Linked DNA regions of Coturnix japonica. The main gene of each other region encodes a partner of the protein of the gene in region 3 in a complex. Links are inferred from orthologs where the notes say so. Each region holds a gene or a part of one and is shown on either strand. Other genes may lie near its edges. The genes, in order: CRHR2, ADGRD1, GNB1, CRHR1 and GPR21.

Evidence for each region.
Region 1: the proteins of GNB1 (region 3) and CRHR2 are in contact, whole or in part, in a cryo-EM structure (PDB 6PB1), measured with the Homo sapiens proteins. The link is inferred for Coturnix japonica from reciprocal best matches to the Homo sapiens genes GNB1 and CRHR2. Residues at the interface, in NP_001269468.1 of Homo sapiens: Arg42, Gln44, Arg46, Arg52, Phe292, Val307, Ala309, Gly310, His311, Asp312; in NP_001874.2 of Homo sapiens: Arg142, Ser143, Lys372, Arg376, Asp379, His380, Ser382, Val385.
Region 2: the proteins of GNB1 (region 3) and ADGRD1 are in contact, whole or in part, in a cryo-EM structure (PDB 7EPT), measured with the Homo sapiens proteins. The link is inferred for Coturnix japonica from reciprocal best matches to the Homo sapiens genes GNB1 and ADGRD1. Residues at the interface, in NP_001269468.1 of Homo sapiens: Arg52, Asp291, Val307, Ala309, Gly310, His311, Asp312, Asp333, Phe335; in NP_942122.2 of Homo sapiens: Ser593, Val594, Ser595, Arg598, His819, Lys822, Val823, Leu826.
Region 4: the proteins of GNB1 (region 3) and CRHR1 are in contact, whole or in part, in a cryo-EM structure (PDB 6PB0), measured with the Homo sapiens proteins. The link is inferred for Coturnix japonica from reciprocal best matches to the Homo sapiens genes GNB1 and CRHR1. Residues at the interface, in NP_001269468.1 of Homo sapiens: Arg42, Arg46, Arg52, Phe292, Val307, Ala309, Gly310, His311, Asp312, Phe335; in NP_004373.2 of Homo sapiens: Arg145, Ser146, Lys376, Arg380, Asp383, Lys384, Ser386.
Region 5: the proteins of GNB1 (region 3) and GPR21 are in contact, whole or in part, in a cryo-EM structure (PDB 8HJ1), measured with the Homo sapiens proteins. The link is inferred for Coturnix japonica from reciprocal best matches to the Homo sapiens genes GNB1 and GPR21. Residues at the interface, in NP_001269468.1 of Homo sapiens: Gln44, Arg46, Thr50, Arg52, Ala309, Gly310, His311, Asp312, Asp333, Phe335, Lys337; in NP_005285.1 of Homo sapiens: Pro57, Leu58, His61, Arg313, Arg317, Thr324.

Annotation. Positions count from the first base shown.
Region 1 is NC_029517.1:3,700,954-3,706,678, forward strand, and holds the start of CRHR2 (corticotropin-releasing factor receptor 2), read left to right. Parts: upstream 1-2,171; 5' UTR 2,172-2,204; coding exon 2,205-2,270; intron 2,271-5,725. UniProt on the Homo sapiens protein: G-protein coupled receptor for CRH (corticotropin-releasing factor), UCN (urocortin), UCN2 and UCN3. Has high affinity for UCN.
Region 2 is NC_029530.1:2,632,701-2,637,942, forward strand, and holds part of ADGRD1 (adhesion G-protein coupled receptor D1), read right to left. Parts: intron 3,829-5,242; coding exon 3,764-3,828; intron 3,629-3,763; coding exon 3,473-3,628; intron 2,295-3,472; coding exon 2,235-2,294; intron 1,521-2,234; coding exon 1,403-1,520; intron 813-1,402; coding exon 702-812; intron 1-701. UniProt on the Homo sapiens protein: Adhesion G-protein coupled receptor (aGPCR) for androgen hormone 5alpha-dihydrotestosterone (5alpha-DHT), also named 17beta-hydroxy-5alpha-androstan-3-one, the most potent hormone among androgens. Also activated by methenolone drug.
Region 3 is NC_029536.1:1,653,090-1,659,126, reverse strand, and holds the end of GNB1 (guanine nucleotide-binding protein G(I)/G(S)/G(T) subunit beta-1), read right to left. Parts: intron 5,946-6,037; coding exon 5,783-5,945; intron 5,691-5,782; coding exon 5,624-5,690; intron 4,497-5,623; coding exon 4,295-4,496; intron 3,925-4,294; coding exon 3,708-3,924; intron 3,228-3,707; coding exon 3,121-3,227; 3' UTR 3,120-3,120; exon of another isoform or gene 3,116-3,119; intron 2,734-3,115; 3' UTR 994-2,733; downstream 1-993. UniProt on the Homo sapiens protein: Guanine nucleotide-binding proteins (G proteins) are involved as a modulator or transducer in various transmembrane signaling systems.
Region 4 is NC_029542.1:1,738,447-1,744,296, reverse strand, and holds the start of CRHR1 (corticotropin-releasing factor receptor 1), read right to left. Parts: upstream 3,698-5,850; 5' UTR 3,647-3,697; coding exon 3,409-3,646; intron 1-3,408.
Region 5 is NC_029532.1:7,309,045-7,315,026, reverse strand, and holds the start of GPR21 (probable G-protein coupled receptor 21), read right to left. Parts: upstream 3,995-5,982; 5' UTR 3,912-3,994; intron 3,596-3,911; 5' UTR 3,237-3,595; coding exon 2,190-3,236; 3' UTR 1-2,189. UniProt on the Homo sapiens protein: Orphan receptor.

The DNA.
Region 1 (5,725 bases), on a different chromosome or scaffold from region 3:
GAAGCACCATGACTGAAGGAGAAGCTTGCAACATGAGCTCACCCCTTAAAGAACAGAAGGGAATTAGAAGGAGACTGACCTTCTAAGCAAGCAACCCAGTCAACAGAAAACTCTGGTTGGATTTTGCAGTCATCCATAAGTCGAAAAGCCCTAGCAACACGACAGAATGGAATGATCAGTTTAATCCTTAAATAGTCATTGTTTGGGGTTGTTTTGTGCTGTTTCAATACAGCGTTAACATTATGAGCTTCTAGTACTGCACAGAGTAATAAACAGAGATAAATCATAACAGAAAGCCATGGAATAGAGTGATGGAAATCCTCTCTGGCTTCAAGGGAACTGACCCATGTCTATGCACGAGCAGCTTCAGGCTCCTTTCACCAGTTCTCATCAATTCATTCCATCCCACCACATGTGAGTTTCCATTCCTGGAGGTGGATGTTTAAATGCAATAAAAAACTTCAGCTGGATTTATTCCTCCTTTTGCATTTTCATGAAAGCATTCATATTAATTGGAAGCATTGCAACGCTGAGTTACAGCTTTGTTTTCTTTTAATAATGAAAGGAAACAAATGGCGGAGCACAACCAACACGAGAGGGAAAAGTAGGAAAGCTTCAATATTTAAATGCATTCAGACTGTTGAATAATTGAAAGAAAAGAGAAAACAATGAGTTTCTTTCTTTCTTTCTTTCTTTCTTTCTTTCTTTCTTTCTTTCTTTCTTTCTTTCTTTCTTTCTTCCTTCCTTCCTTCCTTCCTTCCTTCCTTCCTTCCTTCCTTCCTTCCTTCCTTCCTTCCTTCCTTCCTTCCTTCCTTCTTCCTTCCTTCCTTCCTTCCTTCCTTCCCTTCCTTCCTTCCTTCCTTCCTCTTTTCTTCCTTCCTTCTCCTTCCTTCCTTCCTTCCTTACTTTTCCTTCCTTCCTTCCTTCCTTCTTCTTCCTTCCTTCCTTCCTCCTTCCTTCCTTCCTTCCTTCCTCACTCTTCTTTTCATTCTTTCTCTTTTTTTCTTTCTTTCTTTCCTTTCTTTCTTTCTTTATTACATTCATCTTTGCTTTCTTTTTCCTTTCTTTTTCTTTCTTTCTTGTGTTCTTTCTTTCTTTCTTTTTCTTTCTTTCTTTTTTTCTTTCTTTTCTTTCTTTCTTTCTTCTTTTCTCTTCTTTCTTTCTTTCTTTCTTTCTTTCTTTCTTTCTTTCTTTCTTTCTTTCTTTCTTTCTTTCTTTCTTTCTTTCTTTCCCCCACCTCTCAGGTCCACTAGTCCATAGAGTCTATCTGTCTCCTTGCTGTGATGTTCATACTGTATGAAGCTCAACCTCTGCATGGGTTCAGGTACTTCAGCCTCCTTGTAGGTGTGTTCTGGAGAGGGGCTGAGAAGCTGTTTGCTTTATGTCTTTTGTGATCAATTGACAAAAGGCAAAAACAATTCAACTCCCCAAAGAAAGATGCCTGGGCAATTCTCACCCCAAGTTAAGCCTTGCTGTAAGTTCATGCAAACCTTGGGAATTTGTTGTGCAAAAGGGACTCTTTCCTCTTTTCTTCTTTGCTACCTTTATGAGGTTGGATATTAGGGAGAAGTTTTTCACCCAGAGGGTGGTGATGCACTGGAACAGGTGCCCAAGGAGGTGTGGATGGCCCATCCCTTGCAGCATTCAAGGCCAGGCTGGATGTGGCTCTGGGCAGCCTGGGCTGCTGGTTGGTGACCCTGCACATAGCAGGGGGTTGGAACTGGATGATCATCGTGGTGCTTTTCAATCGAGGCCATTCTATGGCTCTATGATTCTAAGATTGGAAATGTTCTGATCCAACTGCTGACCTAACAGCACCATGCCTGTGTTCAGGATCCTTCAGGTCATTACAAGACTCGGGGTGCCTCCCTTTGTCCGCACTACAGAGCCATACAGAGCCCCGCTCTATTGCTGGTAGCTTTGGGGTCGCGCTCCCCGGGGGCTTCGTCCTCCTCCATCCCCGCAGCGCCTCGGGCGGAGGGCGGGCTCGGCTCCCCCTCCAGGCTCCCTCCCTCCCTCCCTCCCTGCGGGGCTTTGCCCTGGGACGCGCCGGCGGCACCGGGTCCGACAGCGGGGCGGCGGTGAGGGGCAGCATCGGGGGGGGGTTGGTGGGAGGGAGGGGGGTTAGAGATGCCAGCAGAGGGGCAGAGCTGCTGAGAGGGCAGCGCCAGCCCCCCGCAGCCCCCCGCAGCCCCTCCGGCCCCATGGCTGGACGGGCGCCGCAGCGCAGCCTCCCGGCGGCGGCCACAGCCGCGCTCCTTCTCCTGCCCGTAAGTGCACCGGCTGGGGAGGGAGGAGTGGGGAAGAGAGGGGTGGGAGGGTGAGCGGGAGGCTCCCCACGCCCCGCCAGGAGCCCACTGGGTCCGGGAGGGAGCACGGAGTGCGTCCCAGCCGTGCGGCTCCTTCCCGTCCCCTCGGCGCTGCGGGACGGTCCCGCACAGACCCCGCACAGACCCCGGCCTCAGCTCCACGATATCCCCGTGGCTGCTGATCCGTGGGTCCCTTCAGAGCCCCCGTGCTGTGCCGTGACTCTCCTTGTATTCCCATTAGCAATGAAGGAGTGCCCTGCCGCAGCCCCGTGCCCTGCTTGCTCTCCTCTCAACACGTGGCTCCGTTTCCATCGCTTTCTCAAGCCCTTCCCATCTGCCCAAGCATTTGTAACAACTTTAGAGCATCAGGGAGATCTTTCCTTCCGATCCTTCTCCATCACCATCATGATGAGGCAGCAAATAGGGTCGGCCGGGCAGGCTGTGTGTGTGTATGAGGTGTGCAGGAGGTGCATTAATCCTCCTAATTCACGGTGGCAGCTCCCACAACAGTATAAAAGCTTTCTGGACTGCTCTCATCATCCTCACTGTGCTTTCCATCAGTCCACAGCAGCACTTCAGTTCCCACATAGAGAGGACTCCTTGCTATGAGCTTATCAGTAGCACCCAGGTGCCCGCTGCTGCCAGACTCATTCTTTGACAGTGAATAAAACCCACCATGTGTTTCCCCTGTAGATCTAATCTATGGACGTGGCCTTTCTTTTTTTCCCCCCTTCAGTTTCCTGCAGCTTTGCATTGGAATTGTTTGTGTGAATTTGGGTGGCTGGCTTCTTTAGTTGCCCTGCAAGAAAGGAGTCACATACAATGCCAAGAGGGGTTTGTTTGGAGATGAATGCTCACTTGGGGTATACTCTGAGTATATATATGATATATATATATGATATATGTGGGTGCCCTGTCCATGGTGTTCAAGGTCAGGTTGGATGGGGACCTGGGCTGATGAAGAAGGACAGGGTAGAGCAAGGACCATCAGATCCACACTTCTTGAGTTACACTCACATAGGTTGTTACCTCTGCTTGTACATTAAGATTGCCAGGACAGCCATTCAGTCTTCAGGCCGAATGCCCAAGCACGGCTCGTGCCCATACTACTCAACTCCTTCAGCCTCTAAAACAGTGCACAAACTGCATGTTGAGCTCTGTCCACAGAGCAGCCTCACTCCCAGGTCATTCCCGGCAACTGTTTGAGATACTGCTAGATTGCTTGGGGCAAAAATGTAGCCAGGAACCATTCTAAACATTTAACAGTGTAAATGATTAAGTGCTTAAAACAGACCTTTGCGCTGTTTGATTTATTGGCTCCCATGGAGCGTGCTTTACTTCCATTGCTCAGAGCTCTGAGCGCCCAAGGGAGGCATTTTCCTCTAAGCAAACTCTTCACTGCTTTGAGCTCAGCTTTCTTTTTGCTGGAGATGACTGCAGGATCCTGCTGGTAGAGATTCACAATGAAGGCACCGGGACAGTGGGCAATACCTGTGTATAAAGGAGCAGTGTCTCTGTGTTCCCTTTGATTTGTGTGTTGCTCATCATGCTGTTGAAAAAGACATTAAAATAACACATCGCTGTTAGAAAAATGTACATATATAGTTGTGGAGTTTGGAAAAATGGATCTGCTGGGGGAGGTGCTACTTTGCTTCACTGTAAACCTTATATCCAGTAAACGACACTTCAGTAATTCACATTTCCCTCTCCTTCCATGAAGGAGAGGGAAACATTTCTCCTTTCCTTTCCTTTCTGTGCTGTAAACAGCTTTCTTTTGTCCCGTACCACTTCTGAACTCAGGTGTCAGCTGTTCCCATGTGAAGTGCAGGCATGAATTCTCAGATGTGAAGCCGGAGCTCTGCGGTGGCCCCATGGCACCTCCTTGCCCCCTCTCCAGTTATGCAGTGCTATGTGCCAAGGCCTTGCAGAAGCATCCTCTTTGCCTCCTCATCTTTCTATTCCTAATAGCCAGCCTTGACAACTAAACGCTCGCTGCTGCTTGGCTTTATCAACCTGTTTCTTTGTATGGAATTACTTGTTTTTCCCTCACAGCTAATCCTTTTCTTTATATCTGAATAGCTTTGAAAATAGCTATATTTGGTTTGAGCTGGCAAGGGTTCGGCACAGAGCTTTATGTCTTTTACCTTTATTTCTTTCTCTGAAGAGTTTGGTAAGCTTTGCTATAGCCCTTATTACAAAGGAAGACAAGTAGGAACTAGTTATTTAACACTGAGAGTCAGCCTGCAAGTGCAGCTTCACATCAATGGCTGCTTGAATTTCATTGAGCACATCCCAGTGTAGGAGAATTGCACTCCTTGTTGCAGTGCAGTGGGCTGCAATGGTCTCTGGCTTACAGCATGTCCTGCTTTTGGAAGCACTGACCAGTTCCTGATGTAGGATCATTTAGATCAGCACTCGCAGGCCTGCTTGCCTGCAGCATCCCAACAAAGGCCATTTGGGAAGGGCTGTGTAGTGACAGCAGCATTGCTTGGCAGAGACAGGCTGTGACATCCTGTCCTGACCTCCTGTTCATGAGTAGCTCATAGCTGGGTAAGGCTGGGGACGTGCTGCCCATGCACACCTTGTTCTGACAAGGCTCATGCCAGCAGCTCTATTGTGGATCTAAATGGGTGGAGAACTTGGAAGCCGTGTTTCTTTGGGAACAAGCAAATAAATGGAGTGTGTTTGTACGGAAAGGTGGCTTGTTCTCTCTAAATAAGAGAGGAAATGCCTTTGGGATGTCAAGAGGTGAAAAATACTTCTTCAACGGAGCCGTGAGAAAGTGAAACTAATGGAAGTTCTACCAAGTTTTACATAATACTGGATGAATAATGATCCACTTTGAGATATGTATGCTGGGAAAGTAAATAGTGAGCAATGCCAATGGAGATTAAAATACATTAGTTGGCCTCGCTATGATGCTAAACGCTTGCCCTGGTAATAGTAGCTGAAGTGCCAGAGGACTGGAAGGGATCCACCTGCCCATGAGGGCTTTGGGGTAATTTCTCTTGCTGTTACTCAAGTCCCTGGGACACTGTTGGCTTTGTGATGCTGATATCTGGGTACTGCCTTAGTTTTGTCATCTCCCAGGGGTGGCTTTTCCAGTGGAAAGGAAGTTGTGGGAGGAAGGAGGGAAGGAGACGAAAGTGAATTAAAGGAAGTGTGTTGACAAACCTGAACAGGCTGTCTGCAGGGCTGGCAGCCAGGCTCTGCTAGCAGGCATCTCAGTGCATGGACTGAAGTATCAGTTCCCTTTGAGTGGCAGTAGCAGGCTCCCACAGCCCGGCCATAGCTTGGGTTTCAGAAGTCTCATGCCAGCAGGAGCAGAGGGATGGTGTGTGAGCCAAAAACCCTGGCAGAGCTTTGTAATGTGGACATCATAGACAAAACTGTTCAGCTTTCTCTGTTGCAGGCCC
Region 2 (5,242 bases), on a different chromosome or scaffold from region 3:
ATAAATGTTTAGGTTGGTTCTTTGGACTGTGTCGTTCAGCTTGTTCAGAAGTGAGTTTTGGCTGCAAAACACCCCTGCAGAATATCCACAGTTAACATAGCACTGTGTGAGTAAGGAACCAGACTTTTTTTAACAGACCGAAACTTCAGATTTTTGCCATCTTCTCACTTTTTGAGAGAAGCTAAAATTTTAGCACAGGCATGGATTTCTTAGTTCTGCCCTTTTGCCTTGACTGTACTTCGCATCTTTATTCTGTTTCTGGATATGCTGTTGCTTAGGTCTGTCATTTTATAGATAAATCTCATAAAAATGTTAAAACAGATTTCGTATGCTAATACAAGTAATGACCTGAAATTTCTTACAAATAACCAGTTATGATGAATAAAAATAATTTAAGAAATGAAGGCCTTTCTCATGTAAAAAGACATCAGCATTAAATGGCTGCCTCCTCTGCAGTCTGGCTGTATTATTCAAGGTAAATTCAAGTAATAGGAATATTATTCAAGTAAGATGAAAAATTCTACCACATTGATCATTCATTAGTGTGGCAGAAGAACTGTTGTTGGTTTAGAACAGGTATGATCAATGGCAATCAAATCGGTTATTTGTCAAAGTAAGGCAAACAGAAAACTGCCTTCAAGCAAAATTAATCTCAAGTGCCCTGTTTACATTCTCCCACTCTCCCTTTAATTTTTTCTTACCTCTTTCTTGAAAAGCTTCACTGGGAATAGAAATATAACTATGTCCTCGGGATGGAAAGCGATAATGGGACACATTCAGAGTCTTGGGATGCATTTTGGCCAAAGTGTAGTCTGTGTGAGAATCCAAACAATAATACGATAAAATCAATAGCCTTTATTATGACCTTCATGAGTATGTAGCTTTGCTTTTCTAACACCTACTGTAAATCTTGACTCTAAAGTTCCACAAGTTTGCAGAAAATAGAATAAATTCCCTGCATACAAAATTGCCTTTTATACCCAAATTAGGTTGTAGGATGCAAAACAGCGGCAAAAGAAAACATTCTCCTAAAAGTTTTAAATCAGATTTCTCTCCCCAAATTAAAGTTTTTTAGTACCTATACATTTGCAAGTTCAAAGCACTGAATAAAAGCTCTGGGCAGTACTTTAATTCCCTCTAGTATAGACTGTGCTGTGCTAAGTCTTCTGTATTGTTTTATTGGGTCCTTATGCAAAATCATTCCCCAGATAAACTCAAGAACCTCAAGTGCAGTCAGAGATGATTACCTCTGAACTTTCTGCAGATGAAATGGCATCCCAAAGAGAGAATAATCTGTTCTGATTTCCTCTTAAGTGTTAGCAAAGTAGAGGGGCTGCATGCACAGAAACATTCAGGAAACCCTGACAGGCCAAACAGAGAGAACAGCTCTGTTAAATCCTACCTGCTATGGATGATGAACCCTCAACAGTAAGAGACATCGAGTTTTCTTCCAGATTGCGTGTCATGTGCACCATCACACTGTCAATAGTTTGAATTAAGCTTCCAAATATGTGAGCAGTCTGGGAGAAGAAAAAAGATAAGGCACTACAACAAGAGAAATTGAAGCTCACAGCACAAAGTGCCAAGGTGTCATGATAAATTCCTTTGTAAGTCATTGTTTGTGTGTCCAAAGTAACAAGTGATTTTCTCCATAACGTTTTCCACATGTAGTGGATAAAACGTTATTTAAAATGATGTCACACAGAGCGTGATCTTCTAAAATATTATGTTTTATAGAGCATCTCTAAAGGACTCTTTGCTCCCATCAGCATTTGTCAATTATATTCAGGAATCAGAAAAATGACATCAAGAACCGAGCAGATTATTTTGGCAATATTTTAAGACTTGGATCAGACACTCACTGGGACATGATTTTAAATACACTGTACTCCAGCTTTTCTTTCATCTGTATTAGAACATCCCCCAGTACAAAGCTACAAGGGAAGTGTTTATGTCTCCTAGAAAATAGTCGTCAGAGTGAATGCATGCTTTAATATGGAAGAAATCTCCTTGATTTGATATTTCCTTACACAAGAGGCAATCTAGGATTTTAAGCTAACAATTTAAATCCATTAGACATCTATCTGTTTTTCTTAAAAGCACTTTAGGATTCAGTCAGACCCTAAGTCATCCTGCTAGTCATAGCAGGAAGAATAGAGGCAACCAATTTCATTACTGTCTATGCTAAATCACAGATCTGAATTAACCAAGAAATCAAAGCTCATTTGTCTTACCTCAGGTATTTCAAGCCAGTTGGGTAGCATCAGAAAGTCTTCAATAACTTTTAAAAATGCCTAAAATAATAAAATCAATTATTTTTTTTTTTCATCTGTTACATCACCTGGTAGGAACACAAGGCAGATTTCTTGGATTTCCTTTGGTTTATTTTAAGATTGCAAACTTTTTTTTTTCACTCTAGTCAGGTTCATCCCCACTGCAAGCATTCCCATCATCTTTTGTCTAGTATCATAGATTAATAGCTTATTTATTAGAAGTAGTACTGCTATGAAATCCTCAAAGTACAATAATTATATCAGACAAGTATATGTAGTCAGACAAGTTACAGTCTGTATGTATGAACAGAACTCTGGTGTTTATTTCCCAAAACAGATTTGCTAAGGATAGTCATGTCCCACATTTCTGTTTGCACATTACTTTCACAACACACAAAGCAACAGATAGAATGAGCAACCAAATCACAACTGAAATGATATGGGCAGCAGGTGTGACATTTGACAGGTTCCATTTTCAAATTAGAGCCCACACGGAATTTTCAGCAAAACAAAGGAAACAATGAATTAGAGATTTTTAGAGAGATTTTTGCTCTGTATTAAGTTGTGATTCACAAAGGACAAGCTTTACATTTTCCAAATGTTAAACCTTTAACAGAAACTGTCAGAAGCTGCCTGTGTGTTTTTAGAAGCACTGATTTATACTGTTGGTCCAAGTAAATAATCCTTGTCACCCTGGTATTACCCACAGGCTTAAAGAAACAATCCCTGGTGAGGCCAGAGCTGATGGTTACAATAATAGTTTTTTAGGCTGCTGAAATCAGGGAATTAGCTCCCCATCATTTTACAGAAGGCGAACTTTATGTTAGCAAGAAGGGCCCCTTGTCATCAGTTTGGACTGCAGAAAATGCCCTATAGTATGTATGACATACATTGAACACACAGCTGAAAAATTAATTAGAAATTCTTTACTTCTTTTCTATTTTCTTTTTAACTAAATCTTTAATGTTCAGTCATGGTTCCAAATATTATAAAACTCAAGCATTAAATTGACTCCCCAAGAACTAATGAACTATTCTCTCTGGTTGAAGCTCACTGTCTGCTGTTCTCTATAACAGCTGCTGCTTACTTCATACACGTATTCTGCAATCTGAAAAAACTTTTGTAGTTGCATTCCATATTCTACCTGCTGGGGAAATTTGAGTGTTATCTGGATGCACACACAGATTTTAGAAGTTTACCTCTGTCAGGCTTAGAGCAGTATTTTCTGACAAGGATTTGTTGGGCAAGCTGAATGAGACGTTCTCCAGGTATTCCAGCAGGATGTCAGAGGAGTGGAAGTTGCCTCTTTCTTTGGTTAGATTAGTTATGATGGGATGATAGGCATTTGTAGACAGCTGCAAGAGAGAGATATAACTCACCAGCTCATTCCAAACAGCAGGTGCCATTTGTGATGTCAGCCCAAAAGGGAGCTAAGGGACAGTTTTCATAAATTCTGATGTTTAAGAAAATAGTTATGAGGACTGTCTTACCACAGGTTTTGGAGTAGTTGTCATCGTAGACCATGAAAGAGTTGAAGAGAGCAAAAATTGCACACCTAGGGAAAAATTCATACAGAAAGGAGTTAAATTTGTTTAGGAAAAAATAACTTTAAAAATCTCCGTATCTTATCAAGAACAAGCAACATACTGTGGGCACTTCTGACAAGTTCCTGTGTGGCCTAGATATATTTCTATATATATAATTCTTCACTATAAGGACTGAGACGATGCAGACATTGAAAACAATCAGAATACCATCAACCATGGTTTCCAAATGCTAATGTTGTCCAAATAAGTATTTATGTCTTGAGTCCAAATCACTTGAGTGGCAAATAAAATAGTGCAAATTCAGAAAGTCTTTAATAAAAACTCAAAATCAGTGAAAAACTCTTCAAAAAATTAAACTTTATACAAATGGAACTTCTCTGTACACATATGGATGGTTGGGTTAACTTGAAAACATCTATTGCACTTGAATTTAGCAGCGTAGCATTCTGCCCTAAATCAAGGAATGTGTTTTATGGTGTCTTTGAGTTGGATTCTGTTGTGGTAACCCCAGGTCGCTGTGAAAGATAAAACAGCCAGATGCTACAACTGTGTTTCCAACATGACCAAAACGTTATAAACTTAACAAAACATTTTAATTTATTTATTTAGATTTTCAAACATGGAATAAAAATTTGTGCTATTTCCTACTTTAAATAAATTATCTGAGAATGTTTGAAGACATCTGTAAGAATCCCTTCATAAAGCATAAAACTTGAGCATGATTTCTGTCTTTTGTGTTGTACAGCATATGGTCTGCTTCATTATACACTAGATATAGGGTATTCTTTTCAGTGGTTTCAATTCTACTTTATCTATTCTGGATTTTTTAATGTATTACATATGTAAGTTACTTGCCATTATCAAACCTGGATGTCACAAATGCACACGTTCTCATTTACAGGTTTGCACCTGTGCTGTGTTACTCAAAGAGTGTCCATTGTGAAAATCACTCCCGTGGGTTTAAAAGCACACAAGTAATTGAGTGTAACTGCGTTAGCTCTCAGTAACCTAATAAGAATTAATGAAAATAGAGAAACCACCATCGAAGCCAAATGTTCCAGATGCCCCATAGCTTTATTCCTGAGAGGGTCATTTTCTGATTGCTACTCGCACATGAACACCTGATAGCAACAGCCCTTCTTGTACTGAAAAGTTTATTATGAATATCTATACCATGGCTGACATATTTCTGGCCACTGTCTTCTACATTTTTGTTCAAATCCTGATTCTTTTTTAATTTATATTAAGTTTTAGCTCATATCTCTCTGGTTTAGTTCACAAATCTACATGAGTTACTAAATCTTTGTTGTTCCAAGAACTGGAGAGATAAGCGTTATTATCCACATCTGCTGGAATACACTAAGTGAGTTTCCTCTATGATTACACAAGAGTGTTAGAAATCTGGAGTCAATATTTCTTAAT
Region 3 (6,037 bases):
TTTACTACAGCACTCTTTCCACTCTTTGGAATTTGTCTTGGTTGGTGTGAAATGAATAAAATTTGATCTAATGAGTCAGATTATCAATAGAATTTTACTCACAAAAAAAATAAAAGGGGGTCTTAAGTGGACCAATATCAAGTTGCAAAACCAACTGCATTTCAGCATCTCTAAACAGCTGTTGCAGATCTTTACTTCTGTGGGAACAAAAGAGTTTTCTAGATACAATGCTGTTCTGTGCAGACTTTGTTCTTACTGAGTGTTAAAATGACTACTTACCCTTCTCAATATCTACAGTAAGGACAGCTAACACTGACAATACAGCTTATCTGGCCAGATCCTCACATGGCAGGATCATAAGATGTTCCACTCAATCCTTTTCCTATTAAAGGGTACAAAAATTTAAGAAGTTACTAAGCATTTTGCTATCTGATTTCCTGCTTCAGGTGTTACACTCAATATATATTCCACAAAACATTTTAGTGATGTATACCAATGCAAATCACATCAGCTACTTTTGTTTGGAGTTATTTTTGTTGGAGCGCCAACAGTTTTCAATTAAGCTCTTGAGAAGGCCTAGCAATAATACCATCCTAAATAATTAAGAATGGAGGAAGAAAAATGCCTGTAGCCACTGAGCTCCACATACACACTGTATCATTAAATTCTGCATTAGCATATATCACATACACATATATTTTCAAATATTGCTGGCAACGTCTAAATACTTTGTTAATAAAAAGAAAATGAAGGTTTAAGATCACCTTGCAACTGTTTTTAGCACTAAAAACACCAAAAACCCACCAAGTCCTGAATCTTTTAACACGTATACAATGTAGACCTTTCAAACACAGTACATATATTGCCCAATTAAAATACCGAGCAATTAAAGACATGTTTTGACCTCTCACATTATATTCCATAACTCAAATTGTTCTGCCAGAAGCAGTTCTGTAAGTAGAACAATAAGCTGCAAAACAGATCAGTCAAAACTCATGTCAAACTGCTTTATTACATCTTAAATAACATTACATTTTAATATAGTATCTATCTTGCATCCAGCTTTCTTGAAGTACACTGACTTTAAAATTAAATACAAAAGGTGAAGAGGGATACAGGGTGTGGAAAAAGCTCTACAGAGTAGTTTCATGAAAGAGAGAAAGAAGGAATTCATCTTTTATGCCAAATCCAGGCCTAACGCACAATTACAGCACATTTTTGTACAGAATGTTGCAGAAAAAACAAAATGGAGAAAAGCTACTACTGCTGCTAGGAAGGAGCATTTCTGGATACAGTGAGAAGATAGGAAAGTTTAACAGAACAATCCGCTGTCCAAACACTGCTGCTTTTAACATTTTATTTGAAAAGAAAGCCAGGAAAACCTGCTTGTTACAAAAATGATTCTAATCAGATGCAAAGGACTCATCCTACAAGAGGAACTGGCTGTGAGGAACTGATTTTATAAAGAAGATGGTTTAGGTTCCCTCCTCCCACACCCCAAAATCTTTGACAGCGATTGTTTGAACAGGCTGTTTCTCTTTTTTTTTTTCTTAAAAAAAAAAAAGTGACTTATCACGCTACTCCAAAACGTGCATAGCTTTTTACTTGAGTTCTTCATAGATTTATGCACAGAGTAGCAACAATAAATGAATACAGCAACAATGGTTACAGTTTTTAAACAGGTTATTTTTTCAAAGAAAAAAACATCTAAGGACTTAGTCCAATATGCACTTTTTAGCATTTCTACAGCATGCGATTCTAAGAGTAAACCCACCCAATATGGCAAACAATCAAAAAAGGTTTTTTTTTTTTTGTTTAACTTAGAAAGTTCAAGATCATTATTTTCAAAACATTGATTTGTACATCATTTCATACACAAAGAATTGACTCAATACCCAAGTGTAGGATAGGTCTCTTTTGAAAACAGAGATTCCTGGTTGTTGAGACTACAGGATAGTGTTAGGATATATAAACTGCCCTTTCAAGTGGACAAAACCAAAACAGATTAAAAAAAAATCAGTGTGGTGAAAAGAGGGGGTAGGAGGGACCAAGGATTGCATTTGTTATCCATAAAACGTGAAAGGATTCTTTAAACAAGCATTCATTACCTTGAACAGCATGTGCTTGGTTACCTTACTGCTTAACGTTATCCTATATATGCCAAGTTTTGTGCAACAATTATCTGTGATACTAGAAAATAAAATAAAAAAAGTAGGGACTAAATTTACATCGTTAACAACCCCCAGGTGCTCTGGGCTAGGACTCCCTTGTTTTGCTCAATTAAATACATAAACAAATGTATTTAAAAAGGAAACTTGAAAAAAATCCCGCTACAAACATGACTTTAAAATTTGCAAGTGTGTGAGATAAAGTCCTTAACTTCGACTTGGAAACTACAGTGAAAGCTAAACTGTTTCACAATTATGCTCAAGTTCATTTTCTGGTCATGCTTTTATGATAGTGTTTGATTTTTAAATTCTCAAGACAAAAAAAAAAAACAAAACAAAACATGGTCCCAAAAGGAATGCACTATTTCATTTTGCTTACAACACAGAAATTCTTCTTGGAAAGGTAATTGTGCTCTTCAATTTCAGCAACAGGAGACGGAAAAGATCTTGCCCTTTGAAGTTGGGGAGGATGGGGGTCCAAGTTAGTATAGTTGGATTGAATATGCTATCATTTTTAATTTTCAATCGTTGGAAACTTCTTCCAGTCACGGAGTCCGCCACTCTTCTAACACACAGAAAGATGGGTTAAGAATTGCACTTAGATAAATTGCAGTCAAGTTTCAAATTTTATTCTCACTCCCCACTGATGCATTCAGCCATTATCTCACTCTTTTTACGACTGCCACTTATTTACCAACCCAGACTCTACAGACCATACCAGCCATCCCTCCCAGGAAAGTAAAAGAGTAGTTTACCATAAAAACATTGCTGCATACATTAAACAGCCTTCTAAAAACAAAAACAAACAAAAAACAAACACACAAAATCTCCCCAGTGACTTTTCTAACTTGAATTACATGCTTGCAGCATCAGTAGAAGAGAACTGTCTGGACCTGGAAATAAGCACTGAGTGCCACATAAGGACAGTTAATTAGTTTGATACCTACTTACTTCAGTTCCAGATCTTGAGGAAGCTGTCCCATGACCCTGTTGCCACTGCCATACCATCATCAGTTACACCTAAGCAACTGACACGGTTATCATGACCAGCAAGGACACCTAGAAATAATAATATGCAACAAACCTGTCACATTGCTCTGAAGCTTTCTTTTACCTGTTCAAGTAACAGTGAGGCTGCCACACTGCAATGACTAAGTCTATTCCTTCAAGAATTCTGAACAACTATGGTTTCAGTTTTTGAATGCTTTTCCTTCCTGAAGCACAAACTTGTGTGGATTCACAAGGAAGTAATACGGAAAGTGCTTGGCTCCAAAATTCTACTTGCATATTCCTCAAGTTACGACCTTATTGATTCAAGCTGTGAAATCCCTGCTGTATTTTCAATGTTAATAAAAAGCTATCATAAATTCTAGAAGAAAAAATGAAATCTATGTAGTAAAACAAAGCTGACAGAGAGAAATTAAGAAATTCAAGTAAAACTACTTTGGCACAGTCCAGAACCATGTATTTGTTTATATCTTGGTCCTGTTCCTATACCCCCAAACTTTGTTTTTTGTATTTAAAACCAAATATGTTTACCTGCTCTATCAGCTTTCAGTGTATCCCAAACATTGCAGTTGAAGTCATCGTAACCAGCTAGGAGGAGACGTCCGCTCTTGGAAAATGCTACAGAGGTGATGCCACAGATGATGTTATCATGTGAATAAACCATAAGTTCCTGATCAGCCCGAAGATCAAAAAGCCTGCATGTAGCATCATCTGAGCCTGTGGCAAATGCATTGCCATTGGGGAAGAACTTCAGCAGCGGGCAAGGAAGAATGGGGAAAAAAGAAGAAAGATATCAAATTAATTTAAAGAGTAGCCGTTAAAATGGGCAAGTTACTCAAAAGCTGAAAAATACATTATGCTGTGAAGTCAGAAAAGTTACAAACATACAAAATGCTTTTCATCTGGCATTCCAGGCATAGAGCCCACTGTCTGAGGAGTACTCTGAAACTGTACATCTGGAATACAACTTCACCCTAGCTCCCAAGCTAGACTTGATGCAGAAAACATTAAGAGAAAACATTCCATCATATTACATCATACAGAACATGCTTAAGAGCCGAGACCAATATAACAAAACAAACTGAAATCCTTTGTCTTGTGTTCAAGCTGATACATACACAGATGGCGTTGATGTCCGACTCGTGGCCAGTGAAGGTTTGCCGACACATTCCTTCTCTAACATCCCACAGTTTGGCAGAGGCATCGCAGGCACCGGAAACGAAACACCGAGCATCAGGAGCCAGAGACAAACTCATGACATCTCCAGTGTGCCCAGTAAATGTAGTTGTCTGCTGACCAGTTTCTATGTCCCAGAGAGCGCTTGAAAGAATAATTAAAATATACAATTAAAAAATCATTTACACTCCTATCTTTCATGCCCTTTTTATTGTCCATTGCATAAAGCAGCAGTGGCAACACGACAGCCAAAGGTAACAGCCTTTCCCACCCTCACTGAGGACGTTTGACTTTGTAAATTGCATCCCTCTCCCAACATGGCAAAAATCACCACTTCTGTGATAATCAGAGCACAAAACAATGAAATAGCACTATCACCCCTTAACTTCTAACTTCCCAACAAACCAGATCCATCAGCAGCAGATCCGTACTAGGCAAACAGAAGGTCACTGCCCTTTGTCATTCTTCTCAAAGCTTGGCTGATCCGAGGTGGACAAAGCGTTATCCAAACAACTGTCTAGTAGCTACGGTAACTCCTGAGCACAGTTACACTGTCCTGTATGAGCCTTGTTTTAACAGATCCTTTTTGTCTTATAAATTATGTTTAGGAACACCTTGATATAAAAACAAACGTCTACATTCATTAGTTACTCACAATCAGTGGACTAATGAACGGGCCTTTAAAGAGACTGACACTGTGTAGGAGAGCTATTTATTAGACAACCTTTGCTGTAAGAACTGCTGCCTGGGAGATCTGTATTGATTTTAAGCAGTAGATATAATACAAAAACTAATGAAAAGAAGATTGAGGCCTTCTCTCATCCAGAAGCTAGTTTTTATTGAGACATACACCCACATTCTCCTCAAGGAAAAAAGCTGCACCTGCTGTCAGTGCAGAATATTTTCTAGGAGCTTTTCATATTTATAAACACCTAAATATGACTTTGTAAAAAAAACTGTAAATTAATATTGAACACTAAAGTGTTTTAAGAAAAATCGCTTATTTCTGAAAGGCAAATTATACCAAAAAAAAGTCAACATTATCTTTTTATCACAAAAAATTAGGTCAATTGAGAACACAGCCTTAACTGAGCAGCCAAAGGTAATAGCCTTGAAAGATCAAGTTTTCCATTACTAGCAAAAAATGTAACTTAGAAGCAACAATCGATCATGTATAATATTCTGGATGACTACCACCTTTATGAAGTTTATTTCAACAGACTTGCTGTGTGTATCATTACTAACAATCATGTCACAATTTTACTGCTTACCAAGTGGTGTCGCCAGAGCTGGTAACAATTTGATTATCATCCAAGAAACGACAGCATGACAAGTATCCTGAAAGCAAAACAAAAAGCCAAAGAATAGAACTGGAGATCTGGCTTCACTGTATGCCCTCATAACCTAGGCCATTCTGAGTATGTACTCACCTGTATGCCCAGCTAGTTCACGGCTGACACGTACATTCCCTTCACGAGTTTTCAAGTTATAAATGGAACAGATGTTATCAAGACCACCACAAGCCACATAGTTTCCAGAAGGCGCATATGCACAAGTCATGACCCAAGACGAACGCAGGGGAATAGCATGCACCTGAAATAAATACAATCAGCACTTCACCTGCAGAACAACTGATTCAATCATTTAGCACCAGTAGGTTTTCATCTCTCCCCCTCTCTACGGGT
Region 4 (5,850 bases), on a different chromosome or scaffold from region 3:
GGCATTGATGTTGTTAATTTGACCTTTATGAATTTCAAATCCAGTCTCTTCCCCTGGGGAGGCAGCAAGTGAATAGAAGAGCTGCAGCAGGGCAGGGATGGCTGTCGCAGTGCTGCTGGTGTGGAACTGGAGAGCATGGAAGGCTCCTGGTCACACTGTCACCCTCTGCAAAACACACCTGCCCCACAGCACACACAATGAAATGTTCACATTGCTCACTGCTCTTCTCTGCTTCTCAGTCCCAGGCTTTCGCTATAGCTTCCCCAGCTCAATTTGTTTTATTTGAATGCAAAGCTATTCTCCCTTCTCCCCTAGAAGAAAGCTCAAGTATTTTAAATGCAAACAAACATGCATTTTTATTCAGCTCTGCCTGGCTTTGGTGTCACTTCCTTTTGCTTTAGGTGAATGTGCAGTGGTCCGAATCACTTCTTTCCTGGAAGGAGTCAGCTGTGCTTCTTGCTCTCTTCTGGGCACGCACAGGGGATTAAGGATAACAATTTATTGTGATAACAATTTAACAGCTTGAAGAAGTGAATCGTGCAGCCAGAAGTACCAGAGCTATTAGCAATTGGGTGCCAACTCCTTGGGCTGATCCAAGCCTGAATGCTATGAAAGGCAAAATAACCCCTTAAGCACTCGCTCTGCTTGACTGCTTTTTGCTGGGCTGCTCTGGGAAAGCCTCACCTATTAGTTAGGCTTCCCCATCTACTCAGACTCCCCTTTCCTTCCCAGTGAAAAGGCTGCAGTGAGAAGCATTCTTTTGACAGTGGGATGCTTCATCCCCATGGGCAAAATGACCTCATCTCTCTGCAAAAGCTTTGTGGCAAGGGGAGAAGCAGCTGCATACAGACCCCAGGGAACTGAAATCAGGAAGGTAATTTGCTGTCTGCAGCAATCTGAAGGCTGGGAGCCCTTGGGACAGGGACCTTTCAACCCTGAACAAGGTTGATCTTCATTGTTTCTCTTTGATAAGTTTAATTAAGCTAAATTTCTTGGCTTCCAGGTGTTTAGAGGTGCAAGCTGACCTGGCTTCTAATGCACCTTCTTGGTCTCAAGTCCAGCTTAACATGGTTTCTACTTGGAGGAGCCTTTGCAGTAGAGCAGCCAATCTGAATGCACGGATACCCACTGAAAGGCACTGTGGATGACTACAATAATAGTTTGGACCATCATGCCTATGCAGCCGGTGAGCATCACCTGCATCTCTCTGCACCACTCTGTTCTAAGCAGAGAACTTTCCAGCTCAGTGCATGCACCTCAGAGCACCAGCAATAGAACCACCCAGCCTTGCATCCTCGTTAAGTGTAAAATCGAGTAAGGAAGGGACTGGCAGTGTGAGAAGGGTGAGAACCTGGGCTGGGATGATTTTTGGAGGAATGATGCTATAGCAGAGCCTGTCTGTGCATCCAGCTGATGCCCAATGTGCTGTGTGCTGGAGGATCCTTGAGCTCGTGTTGCCAGCATGTGCCATTTCCCAAGAGTTATGCAGACATTAACAAATTAAGTCTTGTAGCCTTGCTGCAATTCCCATTAGCATCATCTTAACAAGTCCTCGCTTCAAATAGCCTCAAAACAAAGTTGCCAGTTTTGTGAACATCTCTTCCTCAGAAACGCTGCCTAAATCAGGCAGGGCTTAAACAGACCCCAAGGATGAGGGCTGACGCTGAGCTTCACTTACCAAACAACAGCCATAGGACAATTAGTTTTAGATAAGCCCCCATCCTGAGCTGGGAGCAACTCTCACACGCACCATCCCCATATCCATCAAGTTACCCATGCGTGGTAGGTAGGATGGAGGAGATTTTGCAGATTTAAAGCCTGGCCTGCTGTGCTCCCCATCCCAAAGAGATAGATGCTGTGGTACACTTGCTCCTGAATAGCTTTGCACTGCTAAATCCCAATGCAAGGAAGTCTGATGCCTGCAAAAAGCATTGCCTGCTGCTTGGAAACGCTCCCTGCTCTCTACCCTGGGTTCAGGAAGCGACAGCACAGGTGACAGGGGCCATGAGCTGAGCACAAGGAGGCTCCATGCCTTGGGCCATGGGCCAGCTCCTCCATCACAGGAAGGTCTGGAGGTGCTCCCCACAATTCATGGGTCAGAGCCAGAGACACATTACACCAAGAAAGACAAGCAAGAAGTAAACCAATACCATTTATCACTGCTTAACTTGGCCAAGGACAAACACCTTGTGGAGTAATGAAACCTTCAGGGAGCAAAGCCCATGAGTGATGGCCAGGCTTCTCTGCATAGCCCCCAGGACGTGCAGGCACTTCCATTTCTATCACCAGCCATGCTTTACCCTTGGCTTTCTACCCTCATGCTTCAGGTTGGGGATGCTCCTCGCCACAGTGCCCTGGGCTCTGCTAAACATCCAGGCACTGAATCAGCCAGTGCCCAGCTGGAATTGTTTAAAAAGGACTTTTTAATGTTGTTGTTAATGGGAGCAGTGTGGCAAGGAGCCATCCATCACCCTGATGGAAAGATGCTCTACTGAGCAGGGACTGGGTCAAGCTGGGCAATTGTTTGATGCATGCTCTGTCCTCTGTCAATTACAGAAACAAAATGAGTTCTGAAGCAACCCTGGACCAGGGAGGATCTTCCTCCTGCTGCCTTGAAGCTCCTCTCCCTCTCCCTCTCCCTCACCCTCTCCTCTCCCTCAGCCACTGTTCCTCCCCCCAGATCTATCAACAACCCAGAGCCATCAGCGCTGAGGTGACATCTAAATCATATCTTTAATGTAGGACAAAACACAATGCTTTGTGGGCCTGACCTATATGGGTACAAACCCTTTCAGGGGTGTTGGATATAAGTGAGGTGCCCATGACTTTGTTGGTGTCACCCAGCTTGACTGAGCCAGCCCGAGCCACGTCCCTAAGAGCTGCTTCCATGAACCCAGCAGTGCTCAGTGGCACAACACTGAAAGTACTGGGGACAGAGGACAGCTGAGCCCTGAACACATCACGGATGTGCTGCTTTGGTGACGTGGTGTGTGCAAAAAGCCACAGCTTCTTGTTGTCACCTTTGGGCATAGGGGTGGTGAAGGGGTGCAAACATAGGGGACAGTGGCTCCTGGTTAACAGAGGGCAGTTGATACTGAGGACCACTTTGGCTCCTGATGTCCTTGGGTGCAGTAGGGAAGTGGCAGCATAGAAGCAGGAGCAGAGCTGGTGTCTCTTTGCCCACCTCTCCTCCAGCCCAAAGCACGTTTATTTTTCCTATTTTTAGCTCTCCTGAGCTCTGCATCTTCCACCTGCCTCAACTGACACTGCAAACTGCTGATGCAGTGATCACCACAGGGCTGCAATGCAGCCTCAGCACATTCCCACCCCCAGAAAGGGTCTCACCCTCACCTGGCCATCCTTGCTACCAGGTGCCCTGAGCATGATCTGGGGACACAGGACACTCACCTGTGTGGTTGGTGGTGGGTAGCAGGCTCTCACAGTACTGCTCTTGGATGGAGGCTGCAACGAGGTTATCCCGAAGGAGAAACACCTGCATGAAGAGAGAGAAGATGGGAACAGCTTTACGCACACAACACGCAGCTTCCTCACACCTCTGTTCCCTCCTGGATGTGGCAGCAGGTGGGTCTGATCTGAGCTTCCCCACGCCTTGATGGGTGTCCTCCCCAAATCTGCATGCACCCATTTACAGGACTGCTTTTCCACTCTTGGGGACTCCTATTATCTTCTCTTTTCTCCAGCCATTGTTCTTCTTCCCCATATATTTCCCCAGTGACCCACACTGCAGCCCTGCACAACCCCTGCTGAGCTTCAGTTTCTCCTGTTTAGCATTTTAATCACCACTTTTAGCATCTTTGCATCCCAAGAGCAGGCAGAGGAAACATGATGAGCCTGACACCACGTTCAGATTTGTGATACCTTATTAAAATCACAGCCTTGTAAGCTGTCAGCAGGAAAATGCATCATTAAAGGGATCTGATCCACAGGGTCAGGATGAAGCCTTCTCTAGGAGAAGGGCTTGTCTGCAAGCATTGCCGTTCCCCTTGCATGGGGAAGCACTGACCACAAACAATCCTATTGGCAAAAGCTTCTCCAGAACATCTCCTGGGTGGCTCCGCAGCTGCTTTGGAAGTGAGAACCACCGAGTCCATCTGTCCAGGGAGCTATTTTGGAAAAGCTGCTGCTGAAGGATTGTTTCTGGCAGAGATTGCAATGACCTCTTCAGCCCTGCGTGGCAGGAGCAATGAAGTGATTCCATCTGCGATGAATGGATGGGATGAATGAGGGATGGCAGGGGCCAGTCCCTGTGCTCAGAGGATGGCCACCAGCAGTCACTGAAGCTAAGGAGACTCCTTCCCCACATCCGGGCTGCTCTCCAGTGCTACATCTCCCTTCCTGTGTGCCATTTACCTTCACAATCATTCTGGGTAGGGAAGACACATTCCTCCCCATGTCTTCTAGTGTTGGCACACTCAGAGATCTCCTACCCCCTCCTGAAGCATCAGCAGGATGTGTTCAGACGGGGAGACAAGCTCCGCACCCACTTGCTCTTTTCCAAACAACTATTTACTGCCTTGGGAAGCTGGTTTTGACAGCAAGCGAGATGTCAGGCAGACGTACAAACAGAGCTGAGAATAGCTCCCTTGTTATGACTGCTCCAGATGGCACAATGGATCCAGCAGCATAACCCTGCCCCAAATGCATGCACTGCAAGGGACTGGAGCACTTGTTCCAGTCCTGCAGGATCCCACCATACCCAGTGATGCTCTGCATGAGGCTGGGCTCTGGGATCAACACAGATGAAGCACAACCCCAAACATGAGAGCTCCCTAGATCCAGAGATAGGGTAATTGGGCTGCAGGGGTCCATCCCCTCTGCTTTAGTGCCTGCCAGACCTGTGGCTCACTGCATGGGCAGCTGGGACTCAAGGTTTCTTCCCAGAAGGGGCTGGGATGGTTTGTTCAACTGAGCAGATCTGCAAGTGTTAATTGGATGTGATGGTGCTGATCGCAGCCTGCTCAGCCTGGCAGTGCCCATCCTCCTTCCAGACACAGGGAGAGGTCTTGGCACTGGACTGCAGCATGGGCTGAGCTACAGCTCGAGGGGTGAGGATGGAGCGATGGAGCACAGGTATCAGCTCTGAAAAGGCTTTGAAAATGGGCTAAAATAGCAAAAATAAATAAATAAATAAATAAATAAAATAAAATTAAGAAAATAAAATCTTCCAAATCAAACAAAAGGCTTATTTTCTTTTTTCCACCTGATCCCCTCAGCCACACTGCTAGCAGGGTTAAGGTGGGGACTCCAGGTGCATTTGCACAAGCCAAAAGCATCCCAGCACCCTGCTGGTCAGGCTCCTATGTGTACTTTGTCCCCTGCTGGTTGCTTTAACCCCTCCGCAGGCTTTACAGAAGGAATAGGTCAAAGCTCCGTCCTTGCATCCCCACTGTCAGCCGCCACATGGCACCCAGTGGGTCCCAGCCTGGCCGAGCTGGAGCCACACACACCCCAGTGTCCCCTTCCCTTGGCCCTCCTGCTCTTGCTTTGACACAGAGTGCAGCCAATCCTGCTCTACAGCAAAGAAAAACCTTTGTGATCTCTCTTAGGCTGCCAAAAATCACAGAGCGCTTCAGCTGAGCATTCAGCTGTGGAGGGAAAGGTAAGCAATCTGCTTTTGCAGAAGCAGTTGCTCTGCACAGAGGTCCTGCTCTGCCAGTGTGTGCTCCTGTAAGCACGATGCTCTGCCAGGAGTTGCATGGCTCTGTGTTGGAGCAGCTCCTCCTTCGCTTGCAGCCAACCACGGCTTCAGCACTTCTCACCCCAGCCTACATTAATGTCTCTCTTACACACACCTGGAGGCATCACAGCTGATGCTGAGGATACTTGGTT
Region 5 (5,982 bases), on a different chromosome or scaffold from region 3:
GCTAGATTGTATTGCTTCAAACACGTGGAAATGTTAGCTAAGGTGAAGAGCCAGAGAACAGCTACTGGGAGTTTACCTGAGAGGCTGCTCCAAAAATACCACAAAGAAATGCTTCGATATTAGTGACTAAAGCCCTTAAACTGCTCCCTAAAGCCCACCCATGCCATGACACCTACAAAACACTAGAGAACAATTAGCCAGCTGTGAGCTAATGCACCATTTATAAATGACTCACCGCACTGCTATGCTCTGCTCCACACACCAAGGCTACCTGGCACAGCCAGGTGTCTCAGAGCAAACAGCAGACTGACACAGCTTAGCAGAAGGAATCACCTCTACGGTGTCTGTGCAAAGATGACAGTGTAAGCCCTTAACCTAGACAACGTCTTCATATGAAAGACAACAAGCAACGTTGTGAGAGCTTCAGGATTTAGACAGCCTTAAACTTTCAGATGAGCTAAGGAAGAAGCTCATCTGGACAGGTCTGAAGTATGGATGAACACTGAAAGCAGCTCACAACATGGCTTTGTCCCAGGACAAACCACACGAGCCCAGGGACCATAGCTCCCAGCAGATCACAGAGGAGGGAACGCATGTGCTTGCAGGACCACTAAAAACAGAAACCATCTTGGTCAATAACAGCAGACCTGAAAACAAATAAACGCAGTCTTTCCTTTGGTCAAGAGAACTGCTCCAGTTCTGAAACACTCTTCTGAAACTATCTTCCCTTATTTCTTTTCCTTTCCCAGTATGACAAGTGTAAACCAACCGCGACTTCATACAACAGCTCAAACAATTCCCCAAAGTCACGGCACCGAATGCACGGACTGGGAGCACAGCACAGCACCAGGTCTGTGTTATAAAGGACAATGCAGATGTAATGCACTGCTACAGGACATGGCTCACTAACGCCTTCCTATTCCAACACGGCACCAGTAAAAAGACATTGTTTTAAAAAACCAATCAATTTGAGGGCTGCACCGAATTCTTAACGGCATCACAATACTCAAAAACACTTTGTTTAAGTGAGCCTGAGAAACGCTGTGGTCGATGAAACTTTGTTTCTCAGATACTGTACATTGTTTGACCAGTTAAATATGTGTTTGCCAACAGGATTTAGCTCCTGCTATATTCGAACCATCTTTAATCCCCGAAAGCCCCAAGAAAAATGTCTCTGATTTAGCTCTGTGCACTTATGAATAACTCAAATACTACAGTTAAATTTACAACATAGTTCCCTTAGCTGTTTAGAAGACAATTGTTTTCTTTCCTTTCCCCCTAAGTTCTAGTATGTAAAATATCAAAAGAATTTAGATTAAAGAAAAGGGGGAGAGGGGGGGAAGGGAGAACATGTTATTTTTAAAGTTGTTCTTGAGAAAATTTCCACTCAAAAATGTGGCATTTCTCCACTGTTTGGAGAACAATTTTCACATGTTGGCATCGCTCTCAAGCGGCTGCCACAATTCTGGTATCATAAAATGACAAGTATTTTTCTCTTAGCTTATCAAAACACATGCTAGATGTGGTCTGATTCAAGTTTTTTCTTACTTGACAACAACCAGGGAAATGCAGACTGTTCTCTGACTGCGCACACGCAGCCAACCAGAGTTACGGGGCTGGGGACGGCTCAGATCCCAGTGCTGCGCTCACGGCTCCGTGAGACCACGTTCATGAGGAAACGTTCCCATTGTTCCCCCCTGCTCTACAAGTCCTGCCTAGGTAGCACAGAAAAACAAGTTGTTTGGCCCCTTCTGTTACAACGCTGGAAAATTCTGTCAATATACTTTGGCATATATTAAAAAAATCCCTGTAATACACCATATACCATGACATTTCCACTGCAGATCATTTACATGTGAAGCACGAATCTCAAAAGAACCCAGCAGAACTGTAAGAAAGACTACATTTTGCTGAAGCTCTCAGACACCCACTCCATTCAGTCACACCAGCTGGAGAGGTAAGTGTCAAGATACAGCTTTATTCTTAAAAACGAATATGGAGGTGAAACTCCACAGCCGCCTCCACAGCCACACTTTGCTTTTTTTAAAGTGAAACCACAACGATTTGTGCTCCTGATTCTTCCATGTCAGCAGCATTTCTCAGAAACCTTTTTGCAAATCTGGACATCATAGAATCGTATTTAACTTTTTGCAAATCACAGAGTAGAGTTGTCCCTGCACTTCCCAGTCTTAGACGTGACATCCATTGGAAGATCTTTTGCTCCTAGAGGTAGAGGAGTCCTTGGCTACCCTCTGTCTAGCACAAGAGGCACAAATCGCCCCCGAGAGACGCTTCAGCCCCTTCTGAAAGACACTGTTGGACAGACTGTAAATGACACAGTTGCAGAAACTGTTGCTGATGGCGAGCCAAGTGGTCAAGAAGGATGCAACGCGGTTACTATAGACGTTGGAGCTCTCCAGCAGAAAGTAGATGATGTAGGGCAACCAGAGGATGTAGAAGACACTGGTGATACGGAAAAGAACCATGGCGTAGCGCTTGTCCGGGCAGGGCTGTGCCTCCCCTGCCTCCCCATCCTGAGAGCTGAAGCGCACCCTCCTCTCATTGATCTCCTTGGTGTGCTGCTGGCAGATGCGGAAGATGTTAAAGTACGTAAAGCAGACCGTGAAAGCTGCCGGGGCGTACAGCATCACCACGATGAAGAGAGTGAAGTAAGGGTCAGTGTTCCAGGAATTGGCACACCACTGAAACACGTCCCCGTGGTATCCAGGCTTTCCCCAGTGAAAGGAGGGTAAGAAGACCAGGCAAGAGTACAGCCAAATTACCAGGATGCAGATCCGCAGTCTCCACGGGGTGACCAGCGTGTTGTAGGTCAGCGGCTTGGTGATGGCAATGTACCTGTCAATACTGATGCATGCCAAAGAGGCCATGGAGACGCTCTTCAGCACTGATACCACATAACCAAAGATCTGGCAAACCAAAGACTCGCTTAAAACAACTGGATAGTGCAGCAGAGACAAAGAAGGCACCAGACAGCTCACACCCACCAGGAGGTCAGCATACGCCATAGTCTGGATGAAGTAACTGGTGGTGTGGTGGTTCAGCAGAGGTGCACAGTGAAAGACAAATATCACAATAATGTTGCCTGAAATAATCAGCACCATGAGGAACACGATAATAACCACTTCCAGGAGGCAAAAATTGATGGTCTCCAAATAGCTAATGGCCAGGAGACAGAATGGCCGGCCACTCTGGTTGCCAACCAAGGAGGAGTTCATCTTGAGCACTGCAGTGATCGCTACTTCATGCTCCTGCCTGCTGCCTGCAGCCGCCCCAGGCAGCTGCTGTCATTGCGGCTGGGGCTCTGCGTGCAGCAATGTCAGAACCAGAGCTCGGGTCCCCAGGGCTGCTCCAGCTGCCGCTGCTGTGCATTGTCTGCAGCGCAATTCCCCTTTAAACCCGGCTCCGCGCTGCTACCGGTGCACGGGGACCCGGCGGCAGTCATGTCAGCAACTTCACGCAGACACGGGGCTGCTATTAGAGCCCTCTGGGTGGGCCGCCTCACTCAGGACGGCAGAGGGATGGGGAACAGGGAGAAGGAGCCTTCCTCGAGCGCGGATGGGAGTCCTCCCGAACGCTGACAGAAGAGAAGGGGAAACGTTTTACAGCATCATCCCCGCCCCGCTCCCGCCGCCTCCGGCCCCACGCCCTGCTCCGCCGCTCCCCGCCGCCCGCCCCGGGCCCACCGAGCGGCGGTTCCCGGTCCGCAGCTCCCGCGGCCGCCCGTGCGGAGGGATGCGCGGAGGGGCGGAGGGGGGGGGGCGCAGCCCCGCTCTCCTGGCTCCATCTTGCGCGCCGCTTTGTTCGCCCGCCCCGCCGGGATCGCGTCCCTCCGGCCCCGCCGCTCCCCCCGCCCGACCCGGGGCTCCTCTTGGCCGCTGCCCGGCCCTCACCTGCCGCCGGCGAACAAAAGCCGAGCGCGTCCCCAGCGAGCGCGGCGCGGCAGCTCCGCTCTGCCCGGCGCTGCGGAGCCGGGGGAGGGGACGGCGGGAGGAAGGGGAGGGAGGCGGGCAGGAGCGCGGGGGAGGGCGCGGCGCCGGCGGGGACCCGGCCGGGCTCCCCCGCAGCCCCCGCCCCGGGCTCGGGAAGGGCCGAGCCCCGCGGGACCGCCGGTGCCTCCCCCCGGACCCGCCGCGGTGCCTCACCCTGCGCGACCTCGGAGCCAGCGGCGCGGCGAGCATCCATCCCTGCAGCAAGGCGGCTGCCGCACGGTGCTGCGGGTGCGCCCTGCCCTGCCCTGCTCCCTCACCGCCTCTGCAGGGCGGGTGGCCGCGGGCCGAGCGAGGAGCCGAGAGCCAATGTCTAGCGGGACTTAAGGCTTTTCTATAGGAGCCCTGGTGGAGAAATGCCCGTTCCGTAGGGAAACGGCGTCTTTTTCCTGGCGTAGTTTGGGTTGCTTAGGAGACACCTGAAACCAAGGGCATCCCAGCTGAGAGATGCGGTTCTCTGGTAATTCAGGTGCTGCTCCGGAGGTAAAGTCACCTCCTGCACATGCACACAAAGTGCAACGGCGTCACTACCACCAACAGTGTCACTACCACCAACAGTGTCACTACCACCAACAGGACCTTCACGAACTAACCCGGCTCTACAAAACAAAAAGCTTGCTGGCATTCCAGAGCAGTGGTGCACAGTCACACCACCACCAAATCACACCGTGAATATTTGACCAGAAATACCTCTCCCATGCACTCAGGGCATGGATGGTCTAATGGGATGCTGCTATCTCATCTGCCCAATGACAGGACGGCACCTGCGAGCATCTCATCAGAGCTAAGCACACCCTGGAGACCGAGGCTCGTTCTGAGCCCGTGGCCAGGAGCTGCTCACTGAGCTGAGCCGCCCAGCAGTGGAGCAAAGTGAGGCTCTTCAGCAACCTGAGTCCCTTCATCCAAAATGAAAGTCTTCAACTGTCACCTACACCAGCTCAAATCACACCCTGGATCCTACTGAAACCCGAGGTTTTGGTTCATGTAAGCTAAGCTTTTGTCACACTGATAGATACCCAATGGAAATGGAGTTGCTGCCAAAGGAACCAGTATCAAAGCCATCACGCTGCAACACTTGGGATTTCAGTTGGCCTGTAGGTAGAAAAGCCATTTTGCAGCGTGTTTTTACTGGTCAAAAGCCCTGACTGGACAACACCACGAATTGGCAAATTTTGACTTGGTCTCCTACAGAAATCCGAAAACAAAAATGTTACTTTTCCACCCAAAGATCACTTTGCCATTGTCCTTCATTTCTGTTAGAATTTATGGCATTTCTACGCATGGAAAATTAAGTACTAGAACTGTAGCTAGGAAACATAAACTTTGAATTAAATTTAGGCAAGTGCATTGTGGTTATACAAAAAACAAGCTATGATTGAATTACTGCCGGAGAAATGATCTCCTATCTTTCCAAAGCAGAGAATGATTTACATACCAATTGATTCACATAGTATTTCTGGCTCCTTAGGCATGAATAGGCACATTATAAACATCCTTAGGAAAACAGCACACACTGAACTTTAAATATATCTCACATATATAAAAATAAGATAGTATTGGAAATCCTGAGACTGCCCAGAACAATGTCTGGTTGCTCAAATTTCAAAACAAAAGATGTTCCTCTAAATCAAAAAGTCCTCCATGTTTTATTTTTATTAGTAGTCTGGACTTAACTCCTACACAGCCGGCGGGCATTTCTACATAAGAGAATGTTTTCCTTTAGCTGACAGCCCGTTGTTCCCTCAGCACAGGGTAACAGCTCTGCTCCATGTCCAGGCCAGCCCACAGCTGCTCACTGCATGCACCCAAACCATGACCATGATTTCACACCGACTCTCTCAAGCCCCCCCTGCACACTGACCTGCAGCAGACTGGGAAGGCTGGAAAAGGTGACTGAGTGGAATATAACCCTACCTGCCACACCTGGAGTGAGAGACCAGCTCTGGTCCAGTGCACAAACAGCCAACCAGGATTC